2 linked regions of the Neodiprion lecontei genome follow. The protein of the gene in region 1 purifies or fractionates together with the protein of each later gene. This does not show direct contact. Links are inferred from orthologs where the notes say so. Each region holds a gene or a part of one and is shown on either strand. Other genes may lie near its edges. The genes, in order: syntaxin-17 and vesicle-associated membrane protein 7.

Region 1 (4,412 bases):
GCCGGTATGAACCTTTTTATGATTACGCAGGTGGACTCGCTGTCGAAACTCTTTGTTGCAAACGTCGCATTTAAAATCCTTGAAACCGGCATGAATTTTCATGTGGTAATTCAGGTGATCTTTCCTTGCGTACTCCTTGCTGCATAAAGGACATCGAAAACTCCTCTTCAACGAACTTATTTCCACACTGATATCGTCGCCACGATTCTTCACCCTCTCAGACAAAAGCGATATATTATGATCCAATCTACTGCTCGGCTCCTCATACAATTCCTCAGAGTGCTCCTCTTTCATCAATATCGTTGCGTAGAATTGCGGATTGTCCACTTCTTCTAATGCCAGCACCTCTTCCCCAACTAATCTGTTATCTGTCGCATCAAATTCGGTATCCATCGGAACCTTTGAAAATTAAAATGATGAATATCGCAGCGCTTGTGAATTTTTTGCTTCTATTTTAAAGTTAAAATACTTTCCAGCCCTATTTTTGCATGTATTGACATAGTTTCAGCAATTGCAGTATAAAATCGAATACCCACACATTGTTATTTGTGTGCAGAAAATATCAACAGAACGTGAAGTTTGGTTAAACTGTAATAACATGTAATTATATTTATTTATTACCGCACCACTTCAATTTCCGGGAATTCGACAAGCGGTTCTACTTTGATGCACCGGGAATTCATCGTCAGCCCCGAGCTGGTGATATCACATCAATTTCTTCATCACTTATTTCTATCTTCTACTTCTCTTTGTTCTTCTGTCTTTTATTTGACTATCAATTTCCAAGTCCGGAAGCCATTCACCAATTCAATTATATTTCGATTTTCTTGTCCCGATATAGAATGTTTTGACGTTTCTACTGTCAAAACATCACGATGCATAAACACATGTCAAAGTGTCTAACGGGCGAAAACTGGGTAACAAATACGCCGTTGCTAATGTCGCGCTCTCTTACATCTGCCGTCCGACCAATCCTAAGCGTTTAGTTTCCGTTCGATCCGTACGTGAATAACATGAAGTTAGCCGCCCGTGCTATCAGCGATCTCCTATTTCTCTCACCCTATCGATCAGGCGCGTAGCTCTAACTCCGTTTTATGGTGTTTTCAAATGGCTACACTGCGTGCAATTTATCCTTATTTTTCACTCAATAGCGAGGACGAAATCCTAGGGAAAATGCATTCGTGGGCACTCTGGCTCCCAGTTGAAAATGAAAACACCTCTAAGTGCGTTCCGAAATTAGCTGCCAGTGTACTATCAACAATCTATTACCTCTCTTGCGCTACTGAGTTCTTGAGTAGCTCTGCCCAGCCCCCTGACACTCGCCACTGCTCGCATACTAAAAAATTGTACGCGTTTTGTCCCCGTTTTTTAGTTCCTCTACGTAGCGCCAGTAGATTTCTGACACGCTCGCTGCCCTCGCTGACCGCGCGCAAGCGTGTCAGATAACTACTAGCGTCACTAGTGGTGGAAATTGGCGGCAGAATCGAGGAACATCTTGCGAACCACTTTTAGCAGCGTGTGTCAAGGGGCTGGCTCTGCCTCCATCCTAGGGATTTTACTGGTGCCAACTAGTTTCGGAACGCATCTTTTGACTCGACAGGGGTGCCTAACAATCGAATAAAGCCCGCAATATTTTTATTGTCCTACCAGCATCAAAAGGTAGATTTTTCTTCGCTAAAATTTAAAAACAAATACATAACCTAAAAAACTGCACAAGGAAGAAGGGCCTTGACCTGTTCAGTTCGATATAGCGGTCTCTCTCTTTTCTCAGTCTCTCTCTGTTGCCCATCTTAGCGACAGCAGCACTCCTATCGAATTTAACGCTAAAAATGTACTCCACTTTCATAGACCACGTTCCCAGTACAGCGTTCGGTCTCCTTCTCTCTAGTCTTCATGTCTAGGGGTGTACCTTGATACATACGCCAATGGAAAGAGAAATAACAAAGAAGAAAAACAACTTTCAGTGCGCCTGGTGCTAAAATCTGCAGTTTCAAGTAACTAGAAAGCAATAAAATCAAACCAACGAACTACGTCGTTTTGTGACTGAAAAGGATCAGCAATAAACAAGCGCTGTCAGACGATAATTTAGCAGCTAACGTCTTCTTGGGTTAAAACACGTAGGCAAACCATGTCGTTGCACAGTGAAACCGTAGGAAATAAGCAACCAATCAAACGGCTGGAAATACCAATTAGCAAATTCAATGACGTCGCAATACCACATCACTTAGGAATGCTCAGAAGACATAAGACTAATATCGCCAAGGTTGAATTTTTTTCATACATCGATAACCCAATCTCCCATCTGCCCGATATTTTGCTCATGAGAAGAAAAACGGCAGCTAACATGATCAGTAATCTTGATCATCATGGTCTTACTTTTTAGCTAAAACAAACCGGAGACTGGGACCGTATCTATAAAGAACAGACGAATGCTTCTCGTCTGGTCAAACAGCTTAAACAGTTATTGTACGAAATGGATGTTCTGCGAGGCCAAGTACAAGACAGCGATATCGCTAAGTTCGATCAACTCACAGCATACTCTAGAGCAAGTACAATGAATGCCATCAAAGAATATTTGGGTAAGCATTGAATAATTTTCGCATTGTTCAAATTTTTTGGACATCTGCTGACTGAAAACTAAAAACTAAAAAGTAAAGCAGATATTGTAAGATGGAAATGATTAAATTCTAGCCATGTTATAAATAATTTGTTTATTCTTCCATACTATTAATAATGATAATAATAATAATAACAGCAATAATAATAATAATAACAACAATACTCAGTTATCAATAATTGCAGCGCTGGACCTCAATCTGCCTACAATGAACCGTTTGTCAACCAAAGATGAAGATGAGGCCACAAACCACCCATTTCAGGATGGCAATATCCAACTGCACGCAGAAGAGAAAGAATTGGAAAGGCAGCAGGCCTGTCTGCATGCTTGGAACTCTCTGCAGGATGATATGATACAGCTGCATCAATTGTTCGTAGACTTTAATCAACTTGTTCACGTGAGTTTAACTTTTGAGAAATTTGCTTCTACTACTGTTTGAAAATTCTTTCAAATAATATTTCAACGTTTTGTTCAAACTTTCACAGGATCAAAAAGAGTTTGTAAACAGAATAGAAGAAAATACTGAAGAGACTGAAGTAAATGTCACGGAAGGTACAAAGTTCCTAGAGAAAGCAGGAAAATACAAAATAGCGGCATACCCAATAGCTGGGGCTCTAATTGGAACCTGTCTTGGAGGTCCAGTTGGTTTAATCGCTGGTTTAAAATTTGGTGGTCTCACGGCGATTGGTTGTGGGTTGTTAGGTAAAAGTTATTCGTGTAATGAAGTCGTCAATATCATTACAAGTTGTAATATCGCTTTTGTTTTTCTAATAGGTTTTACTGGAGGAACGCTTTTGAAGAAAAAAACTATAAAATCAAGTACGGAAAGCCAAGCAGAAAACAGACTTGAACGTGTTCATGGTTCTGATTTGCCGTCAGAAAATATAAAAGCTAGCAATAAACAACTTTGACCATTACAAGTTAAACGCAAAAAGTGTAAGTTGCATTGCTCCATGATGTAGAGGTGAAGGAACGGTTAAAAAGCAAGTAGCACCGTAAAATCCGCACTAAAAATAAAAAGGATATGAATACGGAACGAATATATGGCTTGATAATAAGATAGCCTTCCTCAAAATGTACCTAACTGTGATCTAAATTGTAATTAACCATGTACAAATATTTTACTAATTGAATAAAATCACTCGCTATTTTATACATTCAAATTCAGGACTATGCATAACGTCCAATCGGAGTCTCATTGAAATAAGTAAATAATTCTACCTAATTAATGTTCGGAATGCGGTTCCTTAAAAGCTTTGACGTACAAAATATTCCCGTACCTTCTGTCAAGGGGATGGTGGTGATGATGATCAAGACTTTTTTAATTCTGCGATCCAAGATAAATTCAATTTTCGCGGTTAACGGTGCAGGCTGTCAACCGTGACGACTGAAACAAGTGCCACTAGATGCTGCGACTCTACAGGTACAGTCGATTATAGAAACCACCAATTGAAACAACTGTGAACTTATTCAATTGTTAACCGTTAAGTTCAATCGTTGGTGCGTAGTTTGTTGTGTATATTTACGAAAAACCGACCTCGTGCTAGATCAGAGCCATTCGATGTGTCACATTGAATATATGTATTCATAGTCAATGAATTAAAATTGTTCCTTCTTTAAAAACTACCGCTCAATCCAGCAAATTGAACACAGAATACTGTTTTAAGGGAGCTTTTTTCTTTTTCGTACAGTGTTTTCGCCTTTCTCCAATCCCCCCTCCCCCCTTCTCATCATCCAATTTGTTTTATCATCTACACAGTTCGTGGTTATCTCGCCCACTCCGAGCGGCAAAGGT
Region 2 (8,091 bases), on another chromosome or scaffold:
TGTGAAGCCGGGTTAAGGAGGAGCACGGCACTGCACTATCGGCGGTGGACGAAACAACGGGCTTGCATGAATGTGACTAACGAGTTACAAGCGGCGCATGTGACTTTGCGAACTGGCTAGCGTAATTTTACGCGGCGCCGAGGGACTCCTCAAGTTTCGGTCGGCTTAATAGCACGCGCCTACAGTTACTGGCGGTGGGAAAAATGTAGATCTACACGAGTTTACGCCGCGGGCCGGCCTGAAAGACTCGCGGCACCGTTATCTCGATATATGCGCTATCTGACGCACTGCGCTTATTTACGGCGCTCCCTGTTCTTACCAAGAGCAAAACATCGCTGCGTGCTACATAACTTAACCGCAGACATAGACACGCGTTGCGAAGTATCTTCCAGAGGTGAAAATTTCGTGAAATCCAGACACGTGAGGGATATACCATTTTAAAAGAAATAGATCGGTGTTAATTTGAAAAAAAAAAAAATATATACAACCGAGTACCGTAATTTTTTTGATTGAGGCAAAAACCTGATGAAATGGATTAATGCAAGTTATATATTATCTGCGCGCATTAAATTATTTTATGGACGCTGGGTATAATGTATCGCATGAATGATTTTAAACTTCGTTGTGATGACTTTTGCTCTAGTTTTGCATGTAGAACTCTGCCTGGTCGTCGGTACAGGTCAAATTAAAAAACGTCTAGAACGCGCAGTATTCAGGATGGCATATATCGTGTTTCTTATCGAAGCGATCCACCAATAAAAACACATGATTCGTGACATTTTGTCAAGACGCAGCGATGCAAATATTTGCGTTTAGGCAGAAGTACAAATATTAATCCTTACTCTAATAGAAAGCCAAAACGACAAAACCCGCGACGTATGACTCAAAAGATATTTCTATCAATTTCTTAGCAGCTCACAAACTTGTCGAAATATTTAAAAATTATTGCTGACGTGAATAAATTATCGATCCAAGGTCTGCAAGGATTACAAGAACTAAAATCACTAGTTGAAATAAGGTAATGTTTCAAATTTCTAATTTTCCATCCTCCCATGATGCTTTGAACCGAAGTAACTTACCTATCTAATGGCTGAAAATGATGCTATATTCTAAGGATACAGTCAATCCAAGTTTATAACTTTCTACACCTACGTCGCTGCAAACATTGTACTGGAAATCGAGTTCAGCCCTCGACTTAACGTCCTCAAAACAACAAATGTATGCACGTTACTGCAGTTCATACATTCCTTAAAAACATTCCAGTATTTCTACAATATGAATGCAGTATTACGCAAAAAAAATTCTGTCAGAGCTGTATTAGAAATATTTTACACAATATTTAGAAATATTTCAGTTACATTTAAAATTGAATCATTAGTCAAAAACTTCTCTAATATTCCTGAAACATTTGATGTAGTTTGGGACAAAATTCAGTTGGGAAACTTGGAACTATTAGATCGACATTTCACTCTCTGATATATATTACTGTAAAAGTATCGAACTTCACAACTTATAAATATTGCACAGAGGATTTGAAGTGTATTTACGAGGGTCTGATTTCAGGAGTTTCTGTAAAATGATTGTGCTACAGTGTCAGAAAAAGCGTTCTGATTCCTTATAGAACTGATTAAATATTGTACAAAATTTTAATCCATTTATTTTTCGCCCTGAGCAGCCTTTCGCTAGGTCTGAAAGAATATTTATGTTTGCCTATAAAAAACATAGATATATACATATAGCAAACTACACGATTAGTCATCGTCGGTGATAACACCGAACCTTCCAATATATAACGTATTTCCAAATGTGCGTACCGTGGGACATTTAACACAGGGTGATTCCGCCTGTATGACAGAGCAACAGCTCGAGACTGAAGTTTAAGAATAAAGAGTACATCGAATTGCCTGTATGCAGGCGGATACGTCGCGTAATGCATGTACCCTTAATTGCCTATATGCGGGCGAAATCACCGTAACTGGTGAATGACGCGTCGATAGCGCGCACTCTTGTGGCCAGAAAACAAAGCGGGTGACGTGAGTTTTCCTCCTTGAATGCCTGCTGACAGTGCTTGGCATGCTTGGTGCTTTGTTCGTTTTGTAGGTGGATGAGTGTGTTTTGACTCATTTGAACTTTGACGTAAATTTTCGTCGTTATCGAGTGATTAACCATCACCGTAAACCGATGCAATCTATAACTCGCGGTCAGCAACAAGTGCGCACATTGTCTTTGGTGTGGTCATTTACGGAGTAGAGAGCTGCCAGGCGAGGAAATATCCTCGAGAATTTCCGCATTCACAAATTAAGGTAGGTCATTGCCACTGTCTCTGGTTAGACGTGCCAGCGACTTGTCACTAACTTTCACAGCAGGCAGAGTTGATATTGAACCTCTCTGAGAATTCCTCACTAACGATGCGAGTGAGTCAGAATTGCTGTGCGATTTTCGTGGCGACAATGAAGTTGACTATATTGTTTTCCCAGGCTGACCGATAGATCGGCGAGCCATGATTCAAGGAAATGAAAAGTACATCGGATTAATGCAGGTTAAGAATACCGATGTCTTATCCAATTGACGACAAGTTTTCTTATCAATTTACAGAGAAAGAATGCCTATTCTATACAGTGTCGTGGCACGTGGGCCAACCGTGCTCGCCAAGCATGCGGCGCGCACTGGAAACTTTGCCGAAGTGACCGAACGGATTTTGGCTAAAATACCACCGCACAATGACAAGCTAACTTATACCCAAGGGCCGTACCTCTTCCACTACATGTGCGATAACAGGATTGTATACATGTGCATCACGGATGACGTGCGTAATGAGTATTTCCAAGAACTTTGACATAGCGCCCAGTACCCACTACTTGTGACAAAAATAACTTTTACTAACACGAAATACGAGTCAATCGGGAAAGGGGTTTTATCCAAAGCTGCGCAATTGTTTAAAAATTTAGAAACAAAGAAACAAAGCTGGTATCACCTCTGTAATGTAATTCCTTGAGATCTGGGAATGTCAATTCTAGCTTTCTCTGCGTTTCTTTCAATTCTGTTTTTAATAACCGATTGTTACAAGTATAAATGAACCAGAATATATAAAACGTACCTAGAATATCATATATTTTGTTTCCACTTTTGTTTACATCAACAGATGACGTTTGCATATAGGTCATTCTCACTTAAGAGGTAAATTGCTTATTGATAAAACGCGGCACGGTAAAATTTTTGAAAATTTAATTAAATTTTATAATGTTTCGATCAAAACAATCATTCTAAACGTGTCTGCAAGGCAGTCAGTCAATTTATTAATTTTATCTTGTTTTATAAGAAACCAGGGGAGAGACTTGATATACAGAGTAGGATACTTTGTGAACAGGGAAAGGATTTTAATGTTATTTTATGAAAGAAAACAACTTTTCTTTTGAGTATTAACTTTATTCTGTATAAAAAATTCAGTATAAAAAATTATAGTTTGAAGTTTTCATATCCCCCCTGGATATCGTGTCTTTCCCCTGGCCCTTAACAAGACAGGGGAGATATAAACAGGGGAGATATAAACAAGGGAGATACTTTTTAGTAACAAAAACAGAAATAATGACAAATGTATTTATTGTACGCGATTAACCAAGAAAACTTAGAATCTATACACTACAAGAAGTGAATATACAAATGAATTAAAATTTTTAGACGAATATTTTTAAAATAAAACTTACCAGTGCAGAGACTCCATTCACTCGTTCTCAACTGTATCCACAGAGTGTCAGTAATGAAATAAATGACAAAATGACTGCGCACCTAGTTCGAGTGGCGCTGATTACAAACTATAAACTCAACGACGTTCGTTCAAGGTCTTCAATTGCCGCAAGTCGGTAAACAAATGCCGATTTTACAGAAAAATAAGAATGACTGAGAATGACCCATATGTATCAGCTCATGGCCACGTTATATGTTCTCAGGCTATATGTAATCACAAAATAATTTACTTGAAGTTTTGCTCTGTGCACACCGGTTTTCTCTAAAATTAGTTCAACTACATAGATACGTAACTGAACTTAGAAGAAAAGTTTGCCAAAAAACTTTTATAGTGTAAGTTGCATGAATATTTGGTCAAATGAGAACGTTTCGTACTTTGATATGGACAAAGTTAAATATGCGAGGATGCACCTAAAATTAGTTGCTTCATCTCTTCTGGAATCTTAAAAAATGACACAGAAAAAGAAGAGTAAATTACAAGGTGGGTGGGGGCAAAAATGTAGAGCAATCAGCAAATCAAAAGTCTTCAATATCAAATTTTCAGAGTCAAAAATCTGTTTCGCTTGGACTGATAATATTCGATACATTTCTCAAAATGGTTTTTAATACTCTTGAAGAAAACTGTTTTTTAATCATTTTCCTTGGACAAACTATTACAAATTTCACAATTGTCGTCATAATAAAAGCAGTGAAACTTGATATTGCTCGTAATTTCATGGGTAATTATTTTATAAGCATCAGTTATCTACAATCAACAGATGGTATTGTCTGGATAATACGACATTTACCAATCTTAGTACAAATGCAAATGTTTCTGTTGATTAACTGATTGGTGACTTTGAATTTCAGGAATTTCAACGGTCGCGTGCCTTCTTATACTTGAATGAAATTAAGAGACGATTTGAAGCAGCTTATGGACATGGAGCTCAAACTGCTCTAGCCTATGCAATGAACTCTGAGTTTTCGAGGGTGCTGGCCAATGAAATGGTAAGTTATAAGTTTTCGAGTCCCGTGGAGAAAATTTTTGAGATCACAGCAGCGATTCAGCTTCTCTGAAAGATTGTGGTTTTTATGCACATACCAATAACTATGACAAAATTTCGGTGCAAAAATTGAAAGAACTTTGTTTCTTACTGTCAATTGAAAAAGGTGTAGAAAAAAACAGAAAACACTAAGTTTGACATCAATAAATCTTAGTTCTCAACTTGTTATAAATTTTTTAGTGAATATGCTACTTTTTTAAAATCTACTTTCATTACCTGCGACAACGCTCATTAAAACAGTTCATTTTCTTAACATTAAACAGAAACACTACAGCGAGTCCACAGATATCGATACACTATCCAAAGTGCATGGGGAACTTGATGAACTTAAAGACATTATGGTGAAGAATATCGATAACGTTGCGGCACGAGGGGAAAGACTAGAATTGCTCATAAACAAAACTGAGAATTTGACTGCTAGTGTAAGTTTCAATCCCTACTCTTATAAGTTATCTATAGGGCAATTCTTCTGGAAGGTATGATTAAAAAGCCGAGTTTCAACCGAATTTCATAACATGCAATATCTTGTTGCAGAAATGTCATTCTTGAGAAGTAATTGCCATTGAAAACTGAACTATCGACTTTGTTTAGTTTGATAGATTTATATATGCATATCATCTTCATCATTCCCACGAAAATCTTTAAAAAATCATACAAGAATTGGCAGCGCCACCAAGTAAACCATTACAGAAAATTTTTATTTTTTCAGTATTCTACAAATTGTTCCTCTCCATAGATAGTTTTTATTAAAAAAGTAAAATTTGCACTAATGACTAATTGACTAATCTTGCAGTCTGTGACGTTCAGGAAAACAAGCAGAAATCTGGCTCGTTCCCTTTTTTGGAAGAACATAAAGCTTTATGTGATAGTGGCTCTTGTTTTGATCGTACGTATAAATCTCAACAATTAGGCGTCTAATGTGTCACAAGGAATTCTACCAATCATACACATAAAAAGTATATTCTGCTCTTATTCAAACAGTTCATCATGCTTTACCCAAAACTTTACCTATGAGAAACCCTTGAGCTATGGATCGTTGGAGCCTTTGACTTAGGTCATATCCAAGGATCGTGAAGTTTTGCTTTGTTCATGAACCCACGTTACAAATTTTATATCTTGCAAAGTTACAAATGTTGATAAATAAAGTAAGAGAATTAAGAAATTCAGATTTACACTTAAAAGAACCAAAATTTTGCCTATCCATCGTTTGTTTCCTTCGTAAAATCAAACGTAAAATGTTTATCGAAAAGTAGAACAAAACTTTATCATCGGATACAAACTAAAATTTAACGCCGTAATTTTTCCCAAGTCGGAGGTATATTACTCTGCTTAAATAATTATGATAAATTTTAATAGATACAGTAAAATCAATTTTTTGATGCCGGGTCGTTATTTTTATGATTGATGAAATTCCCTGCATTTTATTTGAATTGAATGATTATAGCAGTATGTATTTATTATTTTTTTTATTCCAGGTTGTAATATACTTTGTTGTGGCAATGGCTTGTGGAGGTCTTGCATGGCAGAAGTGTGTCGGTAATTGAAGATATTTTAGACAATTCTAAATTTGGATTGTATGAAATCAGTGCCGGTATCCTTGACCAATGAATGAACATGTTAAGCGTTTTCGCAGACATTGGCCAAATTATTTAAGGTACTCAAACAATGAATCTGTTGCACTGTTTTTTGATGGAAATGTTTTCAAATCATGGCACACGGTAAGGTAGAAGGAAGGAGGAAGGATGGGAGGAGAGCGATATTTGGTATTGAACTAATTTATAAATTCAATCAATAAAAATACCTTTATATATTGTTTATCATCTTTATTTTTTTTATTTTTATTTGTTTTTTCTTCTATATCGTTATTGCATACTGTTAAGACGGATGCTGAATAATATCGTCGTAAAAGTTCAAAAGCATTACGTTTCGATCATTGGCCACAAGATTCTAGACTTATTGTGATATAACAACCATTTATTTTGTTTCTAAATAGTAAGAAATTTGAGTAACCGTGAATTTATCTCTTTCAACAATTGTTAATAGATAGTAAAGTGGAATAAAAAGTTGAACGGAAGAAATGAACTGGATACTTGTTCCCTTTTACAAAGTGGGGCAATAAAGGCATATTATCATGTAATGTACATACCTGTAGGTAATAACTGATTTTGTTAACTTCGAATTATTTTACTACTGTGATTATCATATCATAAGCATATATGCTCAAACATAAGTAACTACAGCCTGTATAAACATTATTTTAAGCTATATTTCACGTAGTACAGGGTGGTCGGTTTCAAATACCCCGTGCGAATATCTCGGAAAGGAAAAGAGATACAAAAAAAAGTTTCATACAAGACTTGTAGCGTTTCAAGAGATAAAGACGATGCTGATATAGGCCGGGATTTGAGGATTGTATCATTTTTTAGGTTTTGAAAATAACGTCTGATTTTGGTTAAGCAATAGGTATTTTGGATATAAGCAGCTGATACCAAGATCAAACACGAATTTAAGGACGCGAAATTTTTTTTGCCGTATTTTCTCCCTTTTTTCACCTCATCTTCCGTGCGTATTCATTGACCCTCAACCCTCACTGCAAAAACTGACCACCATGTGTACCCACCTAAATTATATTTGACTACTCCGCTGCATTATACTCTCAAATGAATCGTAATAAAAATATTATTCGTCATTACACAGAACTTGTCGTCGCTCTTTCGAACGTATAACTTTGGTTAACGAATCCCAAAATTGATCCCACATATACCGTCGTAATGATCAAAAGTTATTGAAATTTTCTGTGGAATTGTTGGGGACAAAAAATAGAAATGAAAAACAATAATTTGAAATGAATCAGTATTTCTCATATAAATAAATAAATACGTGCATACCTAAAACATCATCGCGGAGGAACTTACTATAAGTACGCTATAAAAAATTATCGCAATTTTTTGTTATAAACTCACACACAATGACATTATCTATCACTTCTGTTGAAACTAAGCCTATTGCCATGTTCCAGAAAACTGACATAAACGGTGAAAAAGGTAGCAGCCGTAATAGGCGATGAAAATTTCTCAATTACTTGCGAAGATTCAGTTAAAGAACGAAAAGAAATCGTGAGTAATAGTCCGGTCTTAGGTCATATTCTAATTTTGCTTCAGTCTGTTGGCTTCGAGATATTGGATTTTTCTGCCTGACATTGTTCCATATTGGTAAAGTTATAAACTTAGATCGAGTTATGTTGGAGATTAAATTTTGTCCAATACATGTTTCAATAAATAAATTTTAATTCTCTGTTATTATT

The links.
Region 2: the proteins of syntaxin-17 (region 1) and vesicle-associated membrane protein 7 purify together in Drosophila melanogaster (affinity purification with western blotting; 4 studies listed by BioGRID, with this or other methods). This does not show direct contact. The link is inferred for Neodiprion lecontei from reciprocal best matches to the Drosophila melanogaster genes Syx17 and Vamp7.

Annotation. Positions count from the first base shown.
Region 1 is NC_060261.1:5,330,089-5,334,500, forward strand, and holds syntaxin-17, read left to right. Parts: upstream 1-1,891; 5' UTR 1,892-2,128; coding exon 2,129-2,263; intron 2,264-2,383; coding exon 2,384-2,579; intron 2,580-2,802; coding exon 2,803-3,014; intron 3,015-3,102; coding exon 3,103-3,319; intron 3,320-3,391; coding exon 3,392-3,528; 3' UTR 3,529-3,780; downstream 3,781-4,412. Other genes in the region: gastrula zinc finger protein XlCGF8.2DB, read right to left, coding at 1-399, 627-683.
Region 2 is NC_060263.1:22,132,182-22,140,272, forward strand, and holds vesicle-associated membrane protein 7, read left to right. Parts: upstream 1-2,032; 5' UTR 2,033-2,303; intron 2,304-2,477; 5' UTR 2,478-2,500; coding exon 2,501-2,520; intron 2,521-2,595; coding exon 2,596-2,806; intron 2,807-4,593; coding exon 4,594-4,731; intron 4,732-5,050; coding exon 5,051-5,209; intron 5,210-5,580; coding exon 5,581-5,673; intron 5,674-6,262; coding exon 6,263-6,331; 3' UTR 6,332-7,486; downstream 7,487-8,091.